4 linked regions of the Zea mays genome follow. The main gene of each other region encodes a partner of the protein of the gene in region 3 in a complex. Links are inferred from orthologs where the notes say so. Each region holds a gene or a part of one and is shown on either strand. Other genes may lie near its edges. The genes, in order: transcription initiation factor TFIID subunit 10, transcription initiation factor TFIID subunit 1, Transcription initiation factor TFIID subunit 5 and Transcription initiation factor TFIID subunit 6.

Region 1 (6,259 bases), on a different chromosome or scaffold from region 3:
ACTTAAATCCTTCCAAGACCAGCTCGTGTGTGTGTAAAACAAACCACAGTTATATATACGGTTGGATCATGACCTAACGGGCCAGAAAGCTCGCTTGCATATAATGACTGATTGCATATTAGTCATCGCCTTAAAATCTACTGTGCAGCACATGCTATTTGCTTAAATATCTATCCTCCATTGTCAAGTTTTTATTCGTGTGCTCTGTTCTTAACTGCCGCTAACAGGTGGTTTTCCTTATGAATTTTTGGAAATTTGTGAGGAGCAAGAGCATATCAAACTGGATCTACATAACTGTGTAAGTTTAAGAAAACAGTGGGGAGATTCAATTTCAAGTCCTGAAAAAACAGTGTCTAAACCAAACAATGTGCTCCTGACTGATTTTAAGAAAACAGATCTACCCAACTGGTTGGAATACAGAAGATAGTAAATGGTAAGCTGCTGCCAACAAAAATAAAAATTTGCAAACTGCAGAACTAAATGGAAACGTAGTTACCTCGCGCAAAGCTTTAGAAAGATCATCCATGGTTAATACAAGACGTCTATCCTGAAAGTAACATTTTTTAGGAAAAATGTGATAAGTAATCAGTAAGGATACTAAACAAGATTTAACGCTAGGAACACGAAAAGTTCAACTAGTGAGTAAATACACCTTCGGCTGTTTGCTCTTATTGTCTTTGATAGGTGCTGCTACCCTGGCCTTGCAGTGCCTAGTTCAAGGGAAAGAATAATGTAACAGCAAAGTTAGTACACACAAATACAGTGTGTATAATACATATCGCTAAGAAAATGTTAAAATAGTTTGTTATATAGTGAACAGTAGAGCACATCATACACTGACAAAAAAAACCAACAAAATAAGACCCTGGCAAACTTACGCAATATAATCCGAAAGATCCCATCCTCCCCGCACAATGGATCTGTTTTTCCACGGGCTTTGTAAATCACAATGCCTTTCAGGGTTATTAAGACCCCCTCCCCTGGACCCTGGTAAATAATCAGCTTGGCACCTGTTCTAGTCATTTAGCAATTCCTGCAGCTCAGTTGCCATAGCTGTCTAGGCTAAATGTGATTGCCAGATTGCTGACTGCAGAATGTGCATTTCAGGTCGTGTCAAACTAGGAGCCTCTCCAGCAGGCGCTAGCCTGCTGCCACTACAACCTCAAATCGCACCTTGCTAAGGCACATGATGTGATACATGAGCCTATCATGATGATTGATTAGGTATCCTTCAGTTAATTAGGTATGCTTTTAATTCGTAACTCATGATGATGATGATACCAAAAAAACCCTAATTGACCTGTTTCCTAATTTTAGTATGCTTTAGTTATTCATCACTTGATTAGTCAGACCACATAAAGAATGAGCCATTGGTAATATAATTACAAATAACAACAACAAAGCCTTTTAGTCTCAAGTAAGTTGGGATAGGCTAGAGTTGAAACCATACAGGTTTAGGCACATGGATAGCTGTTTTTCATACACTCCTATACAAGTAATATAATTACAGAATCTCCGCAAAATCAGGCATACACTTTGTAAGTGTATCTTGTATGTTTTTTAAAAAACTTTGAAGATAATTGCATGTTACACAGTTACTCAATATAGGGATATGTTTCATTTTTTGAAAAAGTAAATGATATGGAACATAAAATATGTAGTAAGATATATAATGTAGAATAAGAGGTAAATACAAGCATCGATGGGCCACATTAACTATTAGCAGCCACCCCACTAACTCATTAGAACCCAATTAACCCAACAGCCCATAAAGCAACACCCTACACTCTCCCCTCAATCCCTAATCCACCAATTCCTCACTTGATGCTGTTTGCCTGTTTACATCAGTCCTTTCCAATGCCGTCTTTGAGCAACGACAAGCCTGGCTGCCCCAAGAGCACACCTCCCAGATTGAGGGCCAACGCCACCCCTTTTGAAATAGAGCTCTACTCATGCAGATTGTGCACTGGTGCTGCCCCCTTCAGATCGAGCTATACAGTTGACCAGTGAAGATCTGCAAGACCACAGGCGCCGGAGCCAACAGAGATGGGCGAGGGCAGGTGCAGGTGCAGGTGCAGCCTTGCCTGGTTCTCTTCATGCTCTTCCTTTCTTTAGCCTCTCCTTCCCTTCCTGTATCAATGGCTCCAGTGCGCATATACATGGTCACCCCCACATATCCAGCATACTCCCTCCTCTCCCTTTCTATCCAGATGCGCCTACCACTGCCTGAAACTTCTCCTTCCTCCCACTTTTTCCGCTTTCCTCACTTATCTGTGCTCTCAAATTGACCACCACTGCCGTCACCTTCCAGATTGACTGTGTCACAGCTGACCGGAGCAAGTTCTGTGCCAGCCACTGGTGTTGGATCCAGCAGGGATGGCAGCAGCTCGGGTTCTTGACCTAGATGCCCTCCCCCCCCTCTGTCTCTATATTTATATTTGATCATGGCGATAGGGATGCCTAGATTTCCAGCGAGCCATATCACGTAAGCGGCACCTTAAAAACCATGTCTCAATGAATAATTTCATTGGGGAGGGATTTTGATTGAAGCCTAATAAACATAACCATGTCTCGATGAATAATTTCACAAGTACATGCAATTAGGGAGGGATTTTGATTGAAGCCTAACAAACTTGTTCAACCAGACAAAAACATGGAATTGCAGTATTGCACAGAAGATTTGCATTCCCATGGAATAAAAGAATGATACTGTTTCATTCATGAATATGCTATCATCATTGAAATTAAGAAGAGAATCCTTTACTTTGCAATAACGAGACTATGAATTTACTCACTGAAGAGAATCGCTAGCAATGTCTGATAGGAACTTCTGGGTGGCTACAGCAACCAGTCTCGTTCTGTAAAACACGAATTCAGATTATGTGTGCAAGAAATCAAGCAATTTGTGTTATTAACTTTAATCCATGGCACTGATCAGATCTCAGCTTACTATTATCCATCAGGAAGAGAGATTGGAAAGAAGACGAGCACTCACAGGCGCAGGTCGGGGCAGTGGAACCCGCTGCGGCCGAGGTAGTGCTCCACCAGCTCGTCGGGAATCTTACGCGCCACCGAACCAAGCATCAGGGTTAAGCCGCTGACAGAAAAGTAGAGAAGGCGAGAGGGAAGCGGCGGCACCATACCGTGGGGGTGTAGTCCATGAGGGATGAGAGGAACTCGGTGAGCGCAGCCTCGTCGTCGTGCCGCCCGTCCCCCCCTCCACCCACTCCCGTACCCATGCCCCCTCCAGGGCCTCCGGCACCGCCGCCACTGTTGTTGTTCATCATCCTGGACCTCACGTCTTGCTGCCTCACTGCCCCCACCGCGCAAGTTGTAACAAGAGGTAGGAGCCCGAATAAACGGCGAGGAGAGGGGCAGCGCAGGCAAGAACGAAGGCGGGCGCTCGTGTTCGGCCGCCTTGCGTACCTGAGGCGATGGCGAGGCACAGGGGCGGCGTCCGTGAGTAGAAAATTGGATTTCTCCAAACAAACAATGTGCTCGCACTTTTCCCAGAAAAAATTAGATTTTTGGACTCCAAAGCATATGTTTCGCTTCATCTTTTTTTTTTTTTGCCATTCATAACATTGATTTCGTAAAATCAAAACGTATCACACTTGTTTTTAATGTTATTTTAGACGTTTTTATCCTCGCATGAATACGTACAGATGCAATACACAGAATGGTATAGAAGAACAAAAATATCCAAAATATTATTAAACCCAAATGTAAATGAGTCTTATTTTTATAAAGTCAATATTACAAACAGAAAAAGTGAGAAACAAATTATTTAAAGCATGAAATCCAATTTTCTCACTCGTGAGGCAGGGTAGAGGAAAGGTTGAAGAAGAATCTAGCATGTGTTTGGTTTCGGAGGAAAGGTTGAAGAAGAATCCTAGCATGTGTTTGGTTTCGAAACGATGTGGGTCGGGTCGAAGCTGATCCATTTTTCTGGATTGGATCGGACTCGTTCCTTCTTTGGTTTCATTGACAGGTCAAACCTAGTTTCTTATTTGATTACAAGGTTAAAGTGGATTGGAGCTGCATCATCTCTTGTTTGGTTTCGTGATGAGGGATGAACTGAATATGATCACCTTCCTGGTCATATTACCACACTCGGGATTATATCTTCAATTCTAAATGAGATGATAACATTCAAAATAAATGAAACTGGCACTATTTTAGTATTTGAGAGATCCATAAGCACAAGATATACATAAATTAAAGCCCTTATTAACCAAGTCATAAATTTTGAGTGATGAGGTCTCATTGTTACATTTCAGTCATAATAAAAGGAACATCACAACAACATCAAGATGCATTTCAGTAATCAAGTTCAACTAATAGTTGCATTTCAGTGATCAAGTTCAACTCATTGTTGCATTTCAGTCTAACAAAAGCTACTTCTCACCATCACTAACTATTACAAACTAACAAAAGTTACTTCTCACCATCAACTCAGTTACATTTCAGAGAATTTCTCAGCGATGAACATTGTGATCTAATGTAATTTGTGCTCAAATAGTCGGTTGTAGAAAGCTTTGCCGATGTGAGGATTGGCCACCAGATGAGCATAGTAGAAAGATATATGTGTAGAATTGAAACTAGGCATTTGATTCAGCATGTCAAATAGATGACTTGGCAGCTCATTATCAGGCTTAGCAACCAATTTACTTGTTCGACGACAGCACTAGTAAGGCTCGCGGGCTATGCTTGCTGGAGAACACGCTGGCACCGGAGGACAGGCCGGCGGGGGACTGATGGTGGGAGACACAGCAGGCCAGCGGGGGAGTCTGACGACGCTGACGGAGGCCAGCACGCTAGAGGGCAGGCTAGTGAGTAGAGATGGCAATGGGTACCCGTTACCCGAAACCCGGTGGGTTTTTGCTCTATTAAGGTATGGGTTTGGGTCAATTTCTCTACCCATGGGTTTATTAATGGGTTCAAATGGAAACCCAACGGGTACGTGGGCATGGGTTTGTTCTTCCACTACCCATACCCGCAAACCCATGGGTTTCTAAAACCCGCCATAAAATCAACATTCTTTATAAATATGACTCATAATATTATTAATTGAATATGTTCTAATTGAAATAAACTTCATGTAACAAATTTTAGGCTAAAATTAGTTATCACTTGTTCCTCTTATGCTAGCTTATTAATGTATTAATTGTCATTTACAAGATGAATTATTTTTTATGTTGATGTTAGTGGGTATGGAAAACTCGTTGGGTACCCGAAACCCGCATGGGTATGGGTTTGGGCAAAATTTTATACCCGTCATGGGTATGGGTTTTTTAGCGGGCGTATTTTTTCTTCGCGGGTATGGGTTTGGGCAAGTAATACCCATTGGGTTTTTACCCATTGCCATCTCTACTAGTGAGGGACTGATTACGGGAGGCACGCGGGGAATTAACGTCGGAGGGTAGGCCAGCAGGGGTCCCTCATCCCAGAAGGATGATAGTGGTGGCGCACCCCTGTGCTGGTCTCGAGTGGATAATGCATGGGTGACAGGAGGGTGGAGAGGAAGTGAGTCGAAGTTGTTCGCTTGTTTTTGAGGATCCCTAGAACCTGCATTTTCAAGAAGTATTTCGACCCAGAACCAACCTAACCCATGAGCCTTTTGAACCAAACGCTGATTGTTGTAGGTTGAACTCGTTCCAACCCACATCAACCCGCTAGCCAAACACACGCCTAGAGTCAAAACGGTTCGACTCGGCTTAGCTTGTTAAGGAATCGAGTCACACAACCAACTCAACTTGGCTCGTTTACAAGTTCGAGCTAGATCGTTTAGCTCGCGAGCCATTAAAACCATATACATATATAGAAAACAATATAATCAATTACTAGTTAATTCTAGACCAATTTAACACTAGAAAAGAGTAATAATACTTACAATTTAACGGTGACGCCTAAGAGGGGGTGAATTAGAACTTCTAAAAACTATCTCTAAACTAAGCCACAAATAAATTCCTAGAACAAAACCTATGCAAAAAGGCAATCTAAAATGTGCAAACTAAGTTTTGTCTAAGTGTTGTTATATCTACCGTAAAACCTAAGTTCCAATCCTAAATATTCTAACTAGAATGGAGATGTTGAAACTTAAGTACTTAATGTAAATGCGGAAGGTAGAGATGCAAACTCCCGTGAACGATGCCGGTATTTATACCGAGGTATCCGGAACCACGCAAGGTCCCGACTAATCCTCGTTGATGCCCCTACGCAAAAGGGTGGTGTGGGCCAAGCACCACAGTCAAGTAAC
Region 2 (6,292 bases), about 9.9 Mb from region 3:
GGAAGGTTATCAGTTAGTAGTTTGTTGAGAGTTTTTAGGAGAGTTTTAAGGAGATAAGGATCTCTAGCTAGATAGGGGCGGCCAGCTGGCCTATTTATGTAATCAATGGATGAGAAATAAATTAAGCAAGAATTAGAAGGGAGAAACCCTCCTCTTGCTAGGCCGTGGGCAGAGGCCCCCGGCCGACGTTCCTACCCATCGATACCCTCTCCAATCCCTCACTGATCTAGCGATCATAACAGAAGTTTACGCCAAACTAGAGTCTATGATCACAATAGAAAAAGGTGAAAAAAAGATGGTCAAGTCTTCAGTTCATTTTATTAGAGTTAGACTGGAACAGACTTCATCGCTACCATCAACGCTTGCCCAAGCCAGCAGAAGGGAGGTTGGACATGCAAATATAAAGACAAATACAGTTGCAGACCAAAACGGAGGTGCCAAGCTACAAATGTTTAATCACTAGATAGAAGGAACAAATAAAAGGGGCAGCATGGAAACGATAAAGTAGTAAGAAAAATAGGATGAATGCTAACATAAATGGAACTTGAAAACATTAGGCACATTATCCAGTATCACCTGAAGATAAATTTTGGGCAGCACTATCACCAGGAGGCTCATTATCATTGGGTGGTTCTTCTTCCTCATCGTAGTTTTCATCGTCAAACACTGAAACTGTACTGTTGACTGATGCATACACTGTAGATGAAGAGAAGTAATCCTTTTTTGACAACACATTGTCTTCCTCTGTAGTTGCCTCAACTTCAGGTCCATCATATTCTTCATCAATATCTTCATAATCAACAGCATCTTCTGCCTTCTCATCATAGTCTACATAACAACAAAAAGATGTGTTATCAATTATGTGCATAGTTTGACACGAAAAAGAAGAATAAGGTCTTCCTAAGCAATGGCAAAGTTGGCTTGATGAATAACTCTCAAAACTGTAGGTGCAGCTTATATGGAAACAGTAATATGTCACTAACCTTGTTCGGAAGGATCAGTTGGTGCTGGAGAAGACTTCATTAGCTAATTAGCAAACAACATAGTATTAACTTGTTTGGTAATGAAATAGATAAGTAAGATTAACTATACGCATAAGATAACTTACGTCAATGTCTTTGAGAGATGGACCAAGCTTATCTGCCAGTGCAAAAAGGTGTTCCTTTGCATCCTGAGTTAAGCAAAATAAAAGTATAAATAAATGCAACATCCAAATTGCATTATAAACATAACTAAACAATAAACAATGACTTTGTTTCCTGCAGACAATGGAAAAACAATAAAACCAAAGTACCCTAAGGTTTAGCAACTAACCTTTATTCTGGCTAAAATTTAGTGAGTTCTACTAACTATTATTCAAAAAACATCCAAATTACGAGAAAATTACAATGCATGGACTGAGAAATTTGGTTTCGTCGCATTGAATTTCCCTATCTCATCATTTCCAGAACTCAAATTAAATTAATTTAATCAGAGGAATATGGTTCTTATAGTGATGATGGTTCCTATAAAGCAACCGAGCACCCTAAAACACAAGTCTAAGGATCAAAATGTTAAGAAAAAGAGAACCAACAAAGAAGTTAAATCTGTATAAAATCATGACCAATTGAGAATGCACTAAGATCAAAAACAGATACAGATATCAGACATCCACACAATTGAAAAGGTGAAACGAATAAAATGAATGTCATCTCCTAGAGACAGACACATGAAATAAAATAATAAAAACAACAAAAAACAGGACATTTGCATGTCAACAAAAACAGATAAAGAAGTGTCTACCTCATCAAGATAGTCAGCATCTAAATCACCAGAATCATCTACATTGCCGAACATAAACCCCAATAAGTGATTTCCTCCACCAGGCTCCTCATAATCCTCGTCGTCATCGTCATCTGTAAGGATGACAACAGTAATAACTAATAAGTAAGATGGGGTTATTCAAACAAACTCATTGCTAGTTTCAATCAATCAATTGCACTTAGCTTCAAATGAGTCCAGTTTTGGAGTGACCTCAGGAAATTGTTAAGATAACTAAGAATCTGAGGGTTAATGATGACATAATGCATTCCCAAACAGAGGGTTACATGTTTTCAGTATTATTAAAATGCAGCATCGGAGAATCGCAATGCTAGTTTCAACCAACATTTCATCAAATTAATTTCAACACGTCACATAAAATACAGAAGACCATCATGGAACCATTAACCCTGCAGAGGATCATCTTCATACTCAAAACCATTTTGCAGTTTTATGGTTCTCAAAGCCTGACTCTAAAGGTTGCAACTTCACAATTACAAGCCCATAGCAGATCAGCATGCTAACCACCTCATCTTACATGGGTGCTACCTGTAGCTCCAGCAACTAAAATTTTCCACACATAAAAAAAGAACATTTAATCCTATATAGCACCAAACAGCATGCCATCGGCTTATCAAATCCCATTTGTAAACAGGCACCACAGATCCGTGCACAAAGCCCAGCAAATACACTAGCTAACATAGCACACCCAACACATCAGAGCCCAGCTATTTGACAACCCTAATCGGCCCGACATCGGCACTTGCACCAACACCAAACCAAAAGCATAACTGGTTGTGATGAAGTCCTGGGCATCGTCAAGCTCACCTACGGCACTATTGGTTGGGTTCTCCTCTTCATGGAGCTCGCTGTCGTCCATGGCTGCAGATGTCGCTGTCCCCTACCGCCTCCACAGGCCGCGACGACACCAGTAGCTACAAACCCTAGGCCGTCGCACCCTCAGGCTCCTAATTGGCGTCTTCCCTCGCAAAATCTAGAAACGCAGGGCCAGATTGGATGGAGTGAATAAAAATCTCAAGGTGTAGCGTAAATGGCGAGGCCAAGCCAGAGGCGGGGGAGACCGGGCGACTTCTGCCAGGTCTCCGCAGGATTTTTTGTCACGTAGGCAGTAGCGGAGGACGATTTTTTTTGGTATGGCTCCTTCTGCGACCTCAGTCTCGCCGGCAACGCCTCCTCCGACCTGAGCGCCGCGCCGTTCAAGATCAGCACCAGGAACCGGAAGCTGTTCCTCCTCAGCCCAGTGGGGCACGACCACTGCGGGGGCAGAGACCAGAAGCCGGGGGCGACTGGAGACCGGAGGCCGGGGGCCGGATGCGGAGATGGCCAGGTGGGCTGAGGGCAGAGGCCGCCCACGGCGGGCGGAGGCCGGAAGCCGGTGGGCGGTGGGCGGGCGGGTGGAGGCTGGAGCCGGACCGCGGTCCGCGGGTCGCGACGGAGGAGGACGGCGGGCGGGTGGAGGCTGGAGCCGGACCGCGGTCCGTGGGTCGACGGCAGAGGTCTGTGACCGCGGCGGCGGGTGACGGGGCGGAGGCTGCCTGGGTTGAAGTCGTGGAGAAAGGGCGAGGCGCTTGGGCCAGATGGATAATGGGCCCTCCGCCCCTGCACGTAGAGAACTGCGTCAACGGACTGATTGATCTTCAAGCGCAAGATCAGCGGGGTAGCGCGGAGCCCTGCTTCGTTTCTGGCGACGACGAGAAGCGGCGCGGCGGTGGCGGTGGCGGTGGCGGTGGCGGACGAGCGGAGAGGAGGGTCGTGGGGGCTAGATGGAGAGCAAAGCGGAGGGCAGGGAGGGGCTGGGGCGCCGACTGCGGCGCCGGCGCGTGCCGGGCGCCGAGAGGCGGGCCAGGCCGGGCCGAAAAGAATTTGCGGCCCATAACGGAGAACGAGCACGAGCAATCGGGTCGACTATCCCAGTAAAATAAGGCGCGGTAGCCCATAAACGTATAAAAGAAATCTCTACAACTATTAAGAGCCTAATGTAGACTGCCCCCGCCTCCCCCACGCCCGCCCTCCGCAATCCCCAACCGCCCTCCGCAATCCCCTACCGCCCGCCGTGATCCCCGCCGCCGCGGCAGCCGCCCTCCGCAACCTCTGCCTAGATAAGGATAGGGGCCCCCCGCCTCCCCCACGCCCGCCCGCCGCAATCCCCAACCGCCCTCCGCAATCCCCTACCGCCCGCCGTGATCCCCGCCGCCGCGGCAGCCGCCCTCCGCAACCTCTACCTAGATAAGGATAGGGGGCGCCCTCCTCCCTCGATCATCCGCACTTGTGTAGCCATCGCGCCATCTACACCGGCCACCGCCACACGGAGGTTCGCCTCTGGCCTTGCGGCTTACGACCTCGAGGTGACCGAGCCCGCGGGCTCCATGACGACAACGGTGACGCCGGAGGCAAAGATGGCGGCGCAGCAGCAGGCCCCCGCGTCGCGCTCCTCCTCCCGACCTCGCCGTCGAGTCCCTATTCCCGCCGGACCTCGATATCTTCGCAGGCCGCTGGACCCCGCCGGGGCGGGTGACCGATGCAGTGCGCTCTCGATCCGTGCAGAGCGCAGGTGGTTGGAGAGGTCCCCTCGCCGCTGCGAGCGCCTCCAGGAGCAAGGCGCCGACGGAGGAGGCCGCGTCCGGAGCTGGGCCCATGTACGTGAAGGTGAGCTTGTAGGTAGCGCTTACTGCATAGAATTGGATTGGATTGTATTTTGCTCTCCTATACTAGCAGACGCAGCCAGAGCTAGCATGAACAGGGACCGGGACAGTTGGACAGGGTCAGAGGAGAGGAGAGGAGATGAGCCGATCCTTTGCTACCTTTTCTCCCTTTTCCATGAATCTCCATCTTCCTCCTACCTGGTCTAGGTTGTTTGGTTCGTTTCAGAGGAGGGCTGGGACCCGGACCGCTTACTTCCCCTCCTCCTCTGATGATGATCCATTAATGCCACAGCTCATGTGTGGTGTGGCTGTGACTTGTGATGAGTGAGCGTGCCCCTTCTTCCTCCTCCAGCCTCCAGCTCCAGGTGCGGTGTGAGGTCCCGCTCCTGCTCCTGTCCTACCAGCGTACTACTCCAGTAGTACAGTGGAGTAGCCGAGTGCATTTAATAGCTGGACACAACATTTTACCTGAGACACATGTATTTCCAGGCTGTTTCTCATCAGTATCATATACTTCTTTCACTTTTCAGCTTCTGTGGGTGAACCTCATAATGGACACACTTGGAGCTCTTGCATTAGCAACCGAGCCTCCAACAGACAACCTTATGAAGAGAAATCCTGTTGGTCGAAGGCATGTCAAATGATCCAAAATTTCTTGTTGACAACATTGTGTCCAATACCTATATACTATGCTTTTTGAATTTGGAAACATTTTTACCCATACTTTTCTACTGCAGGGAACCTCTTGTTACAAATATCATGTGGAGAAACTTGTTTGTTCAGGTTAGTATTCCTTCATTATACAATTGGATTCTGTTAAAAACTCTTTGTTGTTCTGATATGTTTGGAATTTTACACAGGCCCTTTACCAAGTAGCAATTCTTCTGATTTTCGATTTTGATGGAGTAAGGATTCTGCGTCTGCAGAATGAAAGCCGATCTGATGCTGAGAAGGTAACAAATACTTTCATCTTCAACACATTTGTATTTTGCCAGTGGAGTATTTGTTCTTCAATAATTTAAGAATCATAACAGAACATTAGTGGACGAATCTTGCTTCACCTTTTAGACAAATACATACTGACATTGGATTGTTCCCAAAAGAAAAGAATCAATATTAAGTTGACTATAAATTGATAGTAGTTTTCCCCCAAAAGGGACTAATGTGTACCCTAGCATTGATACTACATGGATATTTTTCTTCACGTAAGGACTCGTTATAAGCTATTCATTGCTTTACCATAGTCGAATTTCAGGTATGGCATAAGTTATGTGGAAGCTGGTTATATGCGCTTCACTTGGTCTGTTTTTGGTCAATTTTCAGTGACTCACTATTTTTCTTTGCATTTTGGTTTGTTCCAGTAATTTAATGTGGCCAGCTTTAACCTCCTAGAATCTAGGCCCTTGACTGACCATATATTAACCTGTTGTCTTGCTTGTACGAAGTTGAACCATACCAGAGTGAATTTGCTATGAAAATATAGATTATTTTGATGATTTATGGCCCGTGTTAACTCCATGTAGATCTGGAACGAAGGTTTGAGTTAACTTGGGTGTGTTTTTTATGCCAGATCTTCAATGAGTTCAATGCACGAAAACCCGAGGAAAAGAATGTCTTCAAAGGGGTCACGAAGAATCACCTGTTCATGGGAATAATCGGTATAACGACAGTATTTCAGGTAACAGACGATATAGATTCTCTCCATTGGTATCACCTCTGTCCATGGTTATAAAGTTGCTCTCGTCTTTGGCAGATACTGATAATTCAGTTCCTGGGGAAGTTCTTCAAAATAGTGAGGCTTGGTTGGAGACTGGTTGGTTTCAGTTGCT
Region 3 (5,110 bases):
TTGTCCGTGCGTGCTTAGCCGAGTTGTCTCTACATGACTCTATATAGATATTCGACGTGTTTGGTTGTCCGTGCGCGCTTAGCCGGATTATCTGTGTTTGATAGCCTGTATGCGGAGTGCATGGGCTGCATCCGAGGGTGCAGAGCAAGCTAAAAAAGTCCCTTTAGCTGCATGGGTGGGGAAGCTCGGGACGAGCGTATCTAGTGGCTCAAGCTCGCGTGAGCCATGTTCAGCCTATGCACCGAACCAATCAGTGCCATTACGTCTTAACTGCATTTATTATCTAGAGACTCAGAGCTGTATCATGCAGTCTCTAAGCTATCTCTTGTATTTGGAAAATCGGTCAAGGGCTTAGGGTTAGGGATGTTCCTAAAACATCCGACTTAGGGCTTGTTCGGTTATTCCCAAAACACATGGATTGGATGGGATTGGAAAAAAATGAGAAGAGGTTTGACTTGTTTGGATTTCAAACCCATCCAATCCCACTCAATCCACATGGATTGAGAGCTAACCGAACAAGCCCTTATATGACAAATATAATATTTTAACATAGATATACATAAAATTTAAAGTTATTTTTGACAATATTATTAAGAATATTATGAAGTGTTTAAATAAATTTTTGTATACTTTTTTATGCACGTTATTTTCTCCATACAACCAACAAAAAGGTGAAAAAACATCTGAATCCGTATTCGGATAGACATTCGAATTTTATATCAATTATTTAAAAAGATATAGAACAAATTTAATATTTATTTTTTTGAATATTAATAGCATCAATGCTAAAAACAAGAATATAAATTTACATAGCAAATTCTATATATTATTTGTTCATAATTGTAGAAAGAAGACCAAGAAATTGACATCCGAATAAATATCCGGATCCATCCCTATTGTATATGTCCTAATCTGATGTCTATGCACTCATGAGGCAAACACACATTCACACCCTATCAAATTTACTCTAACTTAGCCACTGACAGTCGATCAGTCTCGTTCCCCTACCTAGATGGTTATATGGTGTAGGATCACCTGTTCTCTACGGTATAAATCAAGTTTTCAGCTTATTTTTTGTATAGTAGCTAATAGCATAATTTTGCTTAAAAATATATTATAATTTTTTATAATTCTTTTGAAAGCTTTAGGATAATAACTTTCATTGTCTAAAACTAAATTTAAAATAATAATAATAATAAAAAATTAATTTTAACATAAGTTACGATATCATCAATCACCTCAAAATATGAACTTTTATTTAACTGGTACGTAGAGAACAGAAAAAAAACAAAATTTCCCTTGACATGATTTTTTTACGTTCCTCCATTTATAAGCTAAATTTAAGGTTTATATTTTTTGAGTTGATTGAGAATATTATAATTTATGTTAGAACAATATGTTAAGATTTTTTTAACATTATTTTATATTTAGTTTATCTTATCTAATGACTAAACTATCAAAATAATTATAAAAATGATAATACATTTTCTAGACTAAATTATGCTATTAGCCATTAACCAATAAAATTTAAACTGAAAACACAGTTTATACATAAAGAAATAAAGAAATGAAAAGTCAAATTTTATTATGGGATAAATTAAACCAACTTGAGAGGTAAAATAAACTAAAAATATTTTAGGAAGTTATAAGAACATTGTCCACGGAAACAATTTAGACTTTTTCTAAATAAATGGTCACGGAATATTCCTCCCCATGATCCCCTCGAATTACCTGGTCACTAAACCAAACTCCAGACCTGATAGACCATTGCATTCACGCTATCGCCTGTCAGCACTTGTACATTTAGTTGCGTTCATAAGGTCACAACCTAAAAAACAATTTTACAGAACGTAATTACCTAATAATATTGTTACAATATCACAACCCGCTACAACGAATCTGCGGTGCTCAATTCGGCAGTACATGCTGAGTTCGTTGGAATTGCTAATGAAAATATTAGCTGTACAATAGGCAGTCTCTGAAATGCCAGCTTCACTACTCAATGTCAAAACAGGACCAGTTCTAGTTTTCTGCAAAAAAAAAACACAGCTTACGACGAGCTTAGCGAGAGAGCACCAGAGGCAAATAGAAGGTTCCTCCGAGAAAACTGCAGAAGTCAAAAATCCGCAAATTCGTCAGTTCTCACCACATAGTACCCCCAAAAAAATGATGCTGAAAATAAAGGAGAAATTTCTCACCCGCAGGCTATAAACAGGAGTTGATTTTGTAGGGAGAGCTTTAAGCAGTCTCAGTCGGTTAGCTGAGCTGCCTTTGCTGTTTCAGAAAAAAAAAAGACAAGTGTGTTTTGCAGTCAAGAGCAAGAGAATCAAGTGTATACTCGAATGGATGAGAATCTTATCATGTCAAACTTACGTATCCTCTGTCTTCAGGGTTTTTGTGCTAGAAGCGACATCCCAGAGCTTTACAGTACAGTCAGCCGATCCCGATGCAAGCAATGCTCCTTCACAGCTAAAACAACAGGAGGATATATTAGCCTATAGCATATTTCACGAAATCATATAATTAAGTAAATCCCTCAAATTACAAGTATATGCAGTTCAAACTTGTGTCGCAGAACAACGCACATCGTGAACAGTCACAGGAAGAAATAATATACTCCCCCGTCGCAAAAAGAGTGCAGTTGTCCAGATTCAAAGCTAGAATTGCACTCTTTTGTGGAGGGAGTATATTTGACGTCTTACATTACGAACTCGTTTGGGACTCTCGAAACCCGCGGGTTTCCCAGCCAAAACCCAGCTTCTCCATGCCCCGTGTAACACAACACTCCTGTGGCTGCGTCGACGTTTGGAAATTGGAAGTCCATTGGAAGGGAAGCGTGACCCCGGTTCGGAATGGTTTTCACGGGCAGGAAAAACACGCGTCAGAAGGTCGGGCACGCAACCACCGTCTTGCCTCGTCTCGTCCGCTCTCCGCCTCCCTGTCTCGCCTCGTCCTCCTCCGGATCCCGCCGCCGCCTTCACCCACCGCCGACGCAGGGTCTCAGCTCGTCCCCCTTCAGATCCAGCAGCCGCTTCACCCACCGCCGACGCAGCACCCCGTCTCGCCTCGTCTCGTCCGCTCCCTGTCTCCGTGTCTCACTTCATCCTCCTCTAGATCCAGCTGTCGCCTTCACCTTGTAGGGTGAGTTAATTTCGCAGAGTCAGAGTTGTGGCATGTTATCTTATTTTATTGATTGATCTTCATTTTTCATTAATTTGATGCCAATTTTCTGTGCATATCTACAGGGAAGGAAGCCATCTAGAAGAAGCCGCTAGCCATGTCTCATGAACTGCATTCTCCTGTGTCTGAACCCCAGTCTCTTGTATCTGCTTCTTGTCAGCATTCTCTGTTTTTAGAAAACTGGTTCTACTGAAACATTTGGACAATCTGCTTGTAGTGTTCTTCTATTTATACATTAAATTGGACAGTTTGTTTGCCTTTGGTGCATAAACCAAACGTTTGGCATATGTGTTAACTTGTTCTGCTTGTGTTACCTGTTTGTTTAGAGAATTGAAGTGGACAGTCTGTTCGGCAGTTTCCAAATAGCCACAGGGTGCCCAAACCCCACCGGGCAGCATCAGACGGGGATTTTTTTTTTTTTGCAGGTTTGTCCCAGCGGTGCTAAATGACCAGGGTAGCCTGTTACCGTATTTCCCAAACGAGGCCTACAACTTAAACAAAAGTGGAAACCGGCACAAAAAGAAAAAGGGGCAACCTGCACTAGTGTTCAACCTTTACATGCTATATATTCCACTGGTATGGGTTGCTACCTTGCAGTAAATCAATGACTGCATTGTTATTATCACAGGTTCTCCCCCAGAAGAAGGTGCATTGCTGCTAGTGTTTGAAGGACTTGCCTGTTAGGGCTAGTTTGGGAGTCCAAAAACAGGAGGGGATTAGAGAGGCTAAAATCTCCTCCAAGGGGATTTTAGCCCCTCCAATCCCCTCCGGTTTGGTGGCTCCCAAACTAGCTCTTAGTGTAACAGTAATATCATGTGTCAGTATGTTGCAGAAGATGAAATTTTGTACTGCTTCTCAAAATTCATGGTATATTGCTGTTGTAACTTGTAAGACAAGAAATTATCTTTTTTTGGAAAGCACGGGAGAGTTGTGTTTCTGTTAAACTGTGTGTGTGGGTGGTGAGTGGGGGGGGGGGGGGGGGGGCACCACTGTTGGGCTGCCGGCCCATTAGGGTTAGGGTTGTGAGTCTATATATTGTACCCTATCTCCTATCAATATATCGAGTACTTCATATTCCTACATGGTATCAGAGGATTAGGGTTTCACTTTCACCTAGCCACCACCCACCCCCACAGCCGCCAGCCAGCTGCCCAGGTCCAGCCTGCCTCTGGCTTCTGCGCCGCCGCCCCGGGAGGTTCCTCCCCTCCGGGGGCGGCTCCCTTCCCAGCCGCCAGCCAACCCTCTCCCCTAGCCGGCCCTGCCCCTCCCTCTCCTCGTCGGCGCCCCAGACCAGCTCTGCCCCAGCCGCTGACGCCTCCTGCTCCCAGGCCATCGGCCCTTCTCCCTTGTTCAGCAGCCGTCGACGCCACAGTGGGAAAGCCACGCCCGGCCGACCCCCTTCCCCTTCCCATCTGGCCAGTTCGGCCCGCCCCGCGCCCGCACACACTACGACTTGTGGCAACGGCGGCCACAACCCTTCACCGCGCTGTCGTGGCCCCTCTGGCGGCGCAGCAGCCCCTCCCCGCCAACGCACACACTACGACTTGCCGCCAGCAGATGTTATAAAACTCAAAAAAAAACTTCTTGTTTTTCCTCCTGAGAAGTGACAACCTGGTCACCATCTTTAAGTATTGTGATTGTATTTATTCTTTTACGGAAAGCAGCTTGCTTATGAAAGAAAGAGGTGTTCCCATCCCCATCTTTTAAGAACCTGATTCTGGCCCTTAATCTTGCAATGGTTCTTTCAAAAGATGCAAGTCTGAGACAGTTTTTTCAGCTCATTTCTCAACCATGCTTCATCATGGGTCAGTTGTCTCACAGACTTCTCTAGCTACTAGCTAGAGCTAGTTGTGTCTTGATGTGTCTTGTTGTGCTCAAGTGGGCACACACACCTTACTGGTTGTGACCAGGAATTGGCGATAGTATCCAT
Region 4 (6,145 bases), about 40 Mb from region 3:
TATGTTCAGCAATATTAGAACCAGTATGTGCAGACTCAATAGGCCTAAGACCCAGTAGTCGTTTTTCCAAACCCCAATTAGAATTCACATAATGGGCAACAACGCTAATATAATCTTCTTTGGCTTTACCAGACCAAATATCAGAAGTTAGTGCCACAGATGAAACTGAAGACTTCAAAGTTTCAATTAGTCCCTCCATTCGACCATTGTAATGTTTAATTAAATCTCTAGCAATTGTTTGCCTAGACGACTTAACAAATCTGGGGTTATGCGCATGGGTAATATACTCATGGAAAGCATCAGACTCAGCAAAACATAAAGGCAGATCCTCTCTAGCTATCAATCGACACATTTCAGTTCGTGCAACCAATGTAGAATACTCCCAACGTTGGACAGACCCATCAGGATTAAATTTAAGGACTGACTGAACTATGCCTGCTCGGTCATGTTCAATTTTAGCTTTACAATGTTCTTGGTGCCTAAGTAAGTGTCCAGTACCAGATGAAGATTTAGCAGACAAGGTACATTTGCAGTGTTTGCAAATAGCAGAGATCCTTACCTTCTTACCTTTGTCGTCGATCCCAGTTACTTCCTCGAAGTCAGCCCAAACCCTAGATGTCGCTAGCCTCTTCCTCGGCCAGTTGTCATGGGCAGTGCTACCACCAGTGGCAGTGGGGCTCGAGGAGGCAGTCACAGGCACCGCATCAACATCTACGGGATCAACATTGCTGCCAGTGGCAGTGCCAATCCCAAACAAGGCCAACTCATCCAAACGCTCGTTGTGATCCTCAAGCTCACGCTCCGTCGCCTCGGCGTCCGGATCAAGATCCATGGAGATGGAGGGATACTTGATCGTCTCCTCAACGACGTCACCGGTTCCTCAACGACCTTCAAATCGTAGAAATAAAATACAAAATATCAAAATCAAGAGCACAATGGTAGTAGATCTAGGAAAATAGAACTTCACCTGAGTGGCCGGAGCACCGGAGTCGTCGACGAGGGGCAACCAGAGGGGCAGAGCTGATGTTGTTTGAGGTCAAGGAGGATTGGATGAGTGTAGGCAGAGCAGATCAGAACAAAGAAGCGAGACGGAGAGCCGGAGAGGCACGCACAGTCGCACAGATTCGGGGAGGCACAAACCCTAAGCGAAGAAGCGAGACGGAGAGGGCGAGAGGAAACAAGAGATCTAAGAACAAATCGCAAGAGCACCGAAAAGTCACCGACGACCAACACTCACCAGTTTAGGTTTAGGGTTAGGAGAAGCCGAGAAGTAGTCGAACTTACAGACAGGGGCTATGTCGGCTCACCGGAGCAAGAGGAACACGACGGTCGACGGCCGACGAGCACAAAGCACGGATCCACGGAGCCACCGGAGCGTCCACAAAGGAGATCCAGAGAGGGCGAGTCCGCGAGTGTGACGGAGAAGGCGAGGGCCGACCGAGAGAGGAGACGGAAATGTGGAAGACTGGAATGTGCGGCAGTGGGTAACGGGGAGTCGGAGACGGGGATAGATATTTTGATGTGAGGCCGGGTCTAGAATGGGCCGAATGCTTAAACGGGCCGTGCTCGGGCTCAGCACGACGTGCCCCGACTCAGGCCCAAGCACGGCCTGGGTGTCGTGCCAGGCCGGCCCGAGCCCGTCGTATACCGTGCCGTGTACGGGTCGGGCCTAACCCGCGCCGTGCTTGGGGCTGCCCGTTAGGCCCGACCGGTTTGGACATGTATACCTTTGCCTTGTCGCGCTTGCAGCTTGCTCGTCTCCGGCGCCCGCGCGAGCTCTTCTTCCTTTCCGACGCCAGCGCGGTATCCTCGTCGTCGCCAGTGCGCGAGCGTCTCCTCCTCCTCCTTGCGGCCTCCCGCGCCTCCGCCCCCCCCCCCCCCCCCCCCCCCCCCCCCCCCCCACCCACACACACACATCCGGGAGAAGAGTAGTGGATGCGGAGCGTCTCCTGTAAGCGGTCTCCCAAACGCCACGCTTGTACTCACTTTGTTTCTAATAAAAAATTGCTGTGGTGGAGGCCATAGATTCCAAGTGGTGGTTTAGAGAAGTCCCAAACATACCCTTTGTTTGGGGAGAAGAATCGAGAGGGAGATAGCTAAACTAGGGTTAAGGGAATTAGGGGCCGAGAGGAGCGCAATGAGCATCGTGCCCAAGGAGACGATCGAGGTCATCGCTCAGAGCGTCGGCATCCCCAGCCTCGGTGCCGATGTCGCCGTCGCGCTCGCCCCTGACGTCGAATACCGCCTCCGCGAGATCATGCAGGTCAGGCCTCGCCCCCCTTGCCTAGGTTACTTTTTGATTCCGGCGCTATTTTTCATGAATTGGGAGGGTTGATTTCCGTGCCGTCGCCCTAGGGTTGTCCTTGGAATTGTAGCAGTGGCGGTGAATTTGGTTGGCTAAGCATCTCCAGCGACCTATAAAAATGTCAATTAATTTAAAATTGAGTATATTTTATAGAATTTAGGGCTTCAATAAAACTTTCTGTTCCAATAGTAAAACCTTCAATCTAGATTACAAGGCAACTCATTACGGTGTAGTATACCCGAGGCACTTGAGAGGGTGTCTTATAATTTATTGACTAAATTTTATAAAATGAGACACTGTTAGAGTAGTTTTTCCTGTGTAGAGCCCCACATTTCAATTTGAGACACCAATTTAAGGCATTGTTGGAGATGCTTTGAGCATCTCCAACAACGTGACCTATAAAAATACCCTAAATTTTAAAGTAAGTATATTTTATAGAATTTAGAGTACCAACAAAACATTCCGCTCCAACAGTAAAGCCTCAAATCTAGATTATAGGGCAGTCCACTACGGTGTAGTATATTTGAGGCACTCGAGAGGGTGCACTATAATTTTTTTGACCAAATTTTATAAAATGAGGCACTGCCGGAGTAGTTTTTCCTGCGTAGAGCCTCATATTTCAATTTGAGGCACCAGTTTGAGGCATTGTTGGAGATGCTCAAGCGATAATTTTTTTTGTACATCTGAGCTAAGTGCAGGCTGTGTGCTTCGGCCAAATTAATGACTCTATGCGATCAGCATTATTTAATTTTCCGGGATACTAAGAGTCTGGGCTGGAATTGCCCCCTGTTTTCCGTAGCTTCTCAGCGAGATTGCTTGCATTCTCACCATCTTCCCAACCAAGTACATGCCATTTGTTTGGATTCATCTCCCGACAAGGGCGAAGCTAGCTAAGAACGTTACCGGTCTCATCGCCATTAGAGTATAGGATCATGTAACTATAAAGCAGTATATTATAATGTTTCTCTATTGGTTTTACAAAATCCATCGGTGTCAGATGACACCAACAAATGCCCCTAGCTCCGCCACTGTCTCCCGAGCAACTGTATGAAATCAGTATCTTTAGTTCTAGGGTGTGCTTGTTTATGATGTGGAATGGAATTTTGAGGGCTGCATGGTGGGATGAACTTGCCAAGTGAGATGTTGTTTGTTTTTCCACTGGCACAACTGGTGAAGTCATTTTTTTATTTTCTTTCTACTGGTAATTCGAGTTATGCTGCTTAATTTGTTGAGTCTATACAATTCTTTCCCTTTAGGGATGTAGAACTTAGTTGGATCTCAAAATTTTGTCGAAGTACTAGTGGGGTTTGATAACAGAAGAGTGTCCTATGGCCTGATATTTCATTATCTAGTGTTTTCATAATTCACTTCTTTGTGGATACTGTCTGTTCCCTTTTTGCCACTTGCGCTAATTTATGCTAAGCTTATAATCATGCAAGTCTTCATGAAACCTTGCAGTTTTACTACCTCAATTGCCATTCTGATGATCCCATTTTATGTGTTTTTGCCTCAGGAATCCATTAAATGTATGCGGCATGCAAAGCGGACTGTTCTGACGGCGGATGATGTTGACAGTGCCCTGGGCCTCAGGAATGTTGAGGTGAATTACCTTTCTATGCTATTTTTTTGGATACTTGCAACATATGTTTGTAGGTCTACTATGCACTTGTGAATTGTTAGCTAATAAATTTAAGATCCTTTTTTCGTTGTATTGTTTTTCCGAATCATGTTTAGAACTTCAAAAGCGTGTAACTACATTACTACAATCCACTTTTAGATTTCGACAAGTGTCTTCATGGTATGTAAATGGTATTCAACTTACACCTTCCACTTGCATATTTGGTTCAGTAAACAATCGAACAAGTAGTTTTTGAATGATGCTTCCATATATTTGTAATCTTGAAATTTCATTTCAGAAATCTTTAGGAAAAATGGTTTTGCTTTACTGGTACATATTTGTTTTTACTACAGTTGTAATATTGGTTCCTCAGTTCATAGATGTAGTTTTCTTACTAGAATTTTCTCAGCATGTAGAGCTGTTTGATTAGCTTCTGTTTTTGTGAAACTGCCTTCCTTATGCAATTTTTGTCATACTTTTATATTGAAGTGTCTAACTCCTCTGCTACACTTTATTTTGTTTGAACTGACCCTGCTGTTTCATTACCATGGTCCATGGGTTCTCAATCAGCCCGTATATGGATTTGCCTCTGGTGATCCATTACGTTTTAAGAGAGCTGTTGGACATAAGGATCTCTTCTATCTTGATGATCGGGAGGTAGACTTCAAAGAGGTAGTGGCATTATTAATGATTATTAAATTTTCGTACCACTTATTTCAAAACCATTCATTTGAAATGTTTCTTCCTGGTTCGTGTCATGCAGATTATTGACTGTCCTCTGCCTAAAGCCCCACTGGACACATCAGTTGTAGCCCATTGGCTAGCGATTGAGGGGGTACAGCCTGCAATACCGGAGAATCCTGCTATTGACGGTCTGCCCTTTTTGTCCAGAGATTTATAGTCATTACTTTTCTCCTTAGCAAGATGTAGTCACATTCTTCTCCAATATTGAGAGAAAAATACTTGTTGTGCCAATTATCATTTTATTTCAGCAATTGTACCACCAACTGAAAATAAAAGGTCTGAGCATGGGAAAGATGATGGACTTCCAGCTGATGTCAAGCTTCCTGTTAAGCATGTATTATCTAGAGAACTACAGGTACTTTGATTATGATACCGTGCATTGTATATTACGCATATATTTTCAAGAAACTTATATGTCTATTCACTGTTTGGTTTTGCAGATGTACTTTGATAAAATAGCTGAACTTACTATGAGTAGATCTGATACGTCCCTTTTTAAAGAAGCTTTAGTGAGCTTGGCAAAAGATTCTGGTCTTCATCCTTTAGTTCCTTACTTTTCCTACTTCATTGCAGACGAGGTTGTACAGTAGCTTTCTTGCTTTTGGTGGGTTTCTTTTTATATGACATTACTTAGTGTGTATCCATTTGAATTTCAGGTTACCCGGAGTTTGGGTGATCTTCCTGTTTTACTTGCTCTAATGAGAGTAGTCCAAAGTCTTCTCCGTAATCCACATATTCATATTGAACCTTATGTAAGTAGTAAACCATAAGGTTTTGATAGTTCATGTGCGCGACTTATTTTTTTGCCATTTTATATATTCTTTTCGCCGTATTAGTACTAAATTAGCAGCATTTGTCTTGATCTGTAGTTGCACCAGCTGATGCCATCAATGATCACTTGCATTGTTGCGAAAAGGCTAGGGCATAGGCTCTCAGATAACCACTGGGAACTTAGGGACTTCTCTGCCAATTTGGTTGCCTTGGTATGTCAGAGGTGAGTGATATGTGAAGGGTGTCAGTAAATCTTTGTATAATTATCAAAATTTAATTCAATTGCATTTGTGATTTCAATTCCTTGATTCTCATATTATGACCTTAAAGAACAGTTATGTGCCCATAAAAGTGCTTTATCTTAGTTATGCTAATATGGTATCTTTTCGACAGGTTTAAGATGAAGGTCAAGTCAATAATAGTTTGACCACCATTTCATGCTCTTTCTTCCGTATATAAGATTTTACCTATTTTGCGGGATCATGTCATATGTGACATGATAAGTTTCATGGAAGCTTACATCTTAGTGGAAAACATACCAATAAACCATTGCATGGCTTTGCTACTGAGTAGACTACATAGTGTTCCTTTTAGAGACCAACTGGTAAATAGATATTTTCACTATGCTGTGTGTGGACAGAAGATTTATTTCAGTTCTATCTTCATGCATTTGTTGGGTGGGTCATGACTTGATCTTGCCTTATGTG

What was found.
Region 1: Transcription initiation factor TFIID subunit 5 (region 3) and transcription initiation factor TFIID subunit 10 share a complex: the UniProt entries of both Arabidopsis thaliana proteins name them as parts of the TFIID complex. The link is inferred for Zea mays from reciprocal best matches to the Arabidopsis thaliana genes TAF5 and TAFII15.
Region 2: Transcription initiation factor TFIID subunit 5 (region 3) and transcription initiation factor TFIID subunit 1 share a complex: the UniProt entries of both Arabidopsis thaliana proteins name them as parts of the TFIID complex. The link is inferred for Zea mays from reciprocal best matches to the Arabidopsis thaliana genes TAF5 and HAF01.
Region 4: Transcription initiation factor TFIID subunit 5 (region 3) and Transcription initiation factor TFIID subunit 6 share a complex: the UniProt entries of both Arabidopsis thaliana proteins name them as parts of the TFIID complex. The link is inferred for Zea mays from reciprocal best matches to the Arabidopsis thaliana genes TAF5 and TAFII59.

The regions. Positions count from the first base shown.
Region 1 is NC_050102.1:124,193,179-124,199,437, forward strand, and holds the start of transcription initiation factor TFIID subunit 10, read right to left. Parts: upstream 3,530-6,259; 5' UTR 3,427-3,529; exon of another isoform or gene 3,306-3,426; 5' UTR 3,288-3,305; coding exon 3,144-3,287; intron 3,061-3,143; coding exon 2,996-3,060; intron 2,859-2,995; coding exon 2,796-2,858; exon of another isoform or gene 879-2,795; intron 711-878; coding exon 653-710; intron 548-652; coding exon 497-547; intron 1-496. UniProt on the Arabidopsis thaliana protein: TAFs are components of the transcription factor IID (TFIID) complex that is essential for mediating regulation of RNA polymerase transcription.
Region 2 is NC_050104.1:98,683,053-98,689,344, reverse strand, and holds the start of transcription initiation factor TFIID subunit 1, read right to left. Parts: upstream 3,710-6,292; 5' UTR 2,681-3,709; coding exon 2,629-2,680; intron 1,896-2,628; coding exon 1,783-1,895; intron 1,172-1,782; coding exon 1,109-1,171; intron 1,027-1,108; coding exon 984-1,026; intron 829-983; coding exon 577-828; intron 1-576. Other genes in the region: calcium-transporting ATPase 5, plasma membrane-type, read left to right, coding at 5,015-5,094, 5,201-5,246, 5,324-5,485. UniProt on the Arabidopsis thaliana protein: TAFs are components of the transcription factor IID (TFIID) complex that is essential for mediating regulation of RNA polymerase transcription. Core scaffold of the TFIID complex.
Region 3 is NC_050104.1:108,587,042-108,592,151, reverse strand, and holds the end of Transcription initiation factor TFIID subunit 5, read right to left. Parts: intron 2,470-5,110; coding exon 2,374-2,469; intron 2,275-2,373; coding exon 2,199-2,274; intron 2,108-2,198; coding exon 2,051-2,107; 3' UTR 1,810-2,050; downstream 1-1,809. UniProt on the Arabidopsis thaliana protein: TAFs are components of the transcription factor IID (TFIID) complex that is essential for mediating regulation of RNA polymerase transcription.
Region 4 is NC_050104.1:148,195,098-148,201,242, forward strand, and holds the start of Transcription initiation factor TFIID subunit 6, read left to right. Parts: upstream 1-1,912; 5' UTR 1,913-2,137; coding exon 2,138-2,263; intron 2,264-3,818; coding exon 3,819-3,905; intron 3,906-4,493; coding exon 4,494-4,595; intron 4,596-4,686; coding exon 4,687-4,795; intron 4,796-4,915; coding exon 4,916-5,022; intron 5,023-5,107; coding exon 5,108-5,245; intron 5,246-5,323; coding exon 5,324-5,419; intron 5,420-5,536; coding exon 5,537-5,661; intron 5,662-6,145. UniProt on the Arabidopsis thaliana protein: TAFs are components of the transcription factor IID (TFIID) complex that is essential for mediating regulation of RNA polymerase transcription. Required for proper pollen function. May stabilize the interaction of TFIID with selected promoters.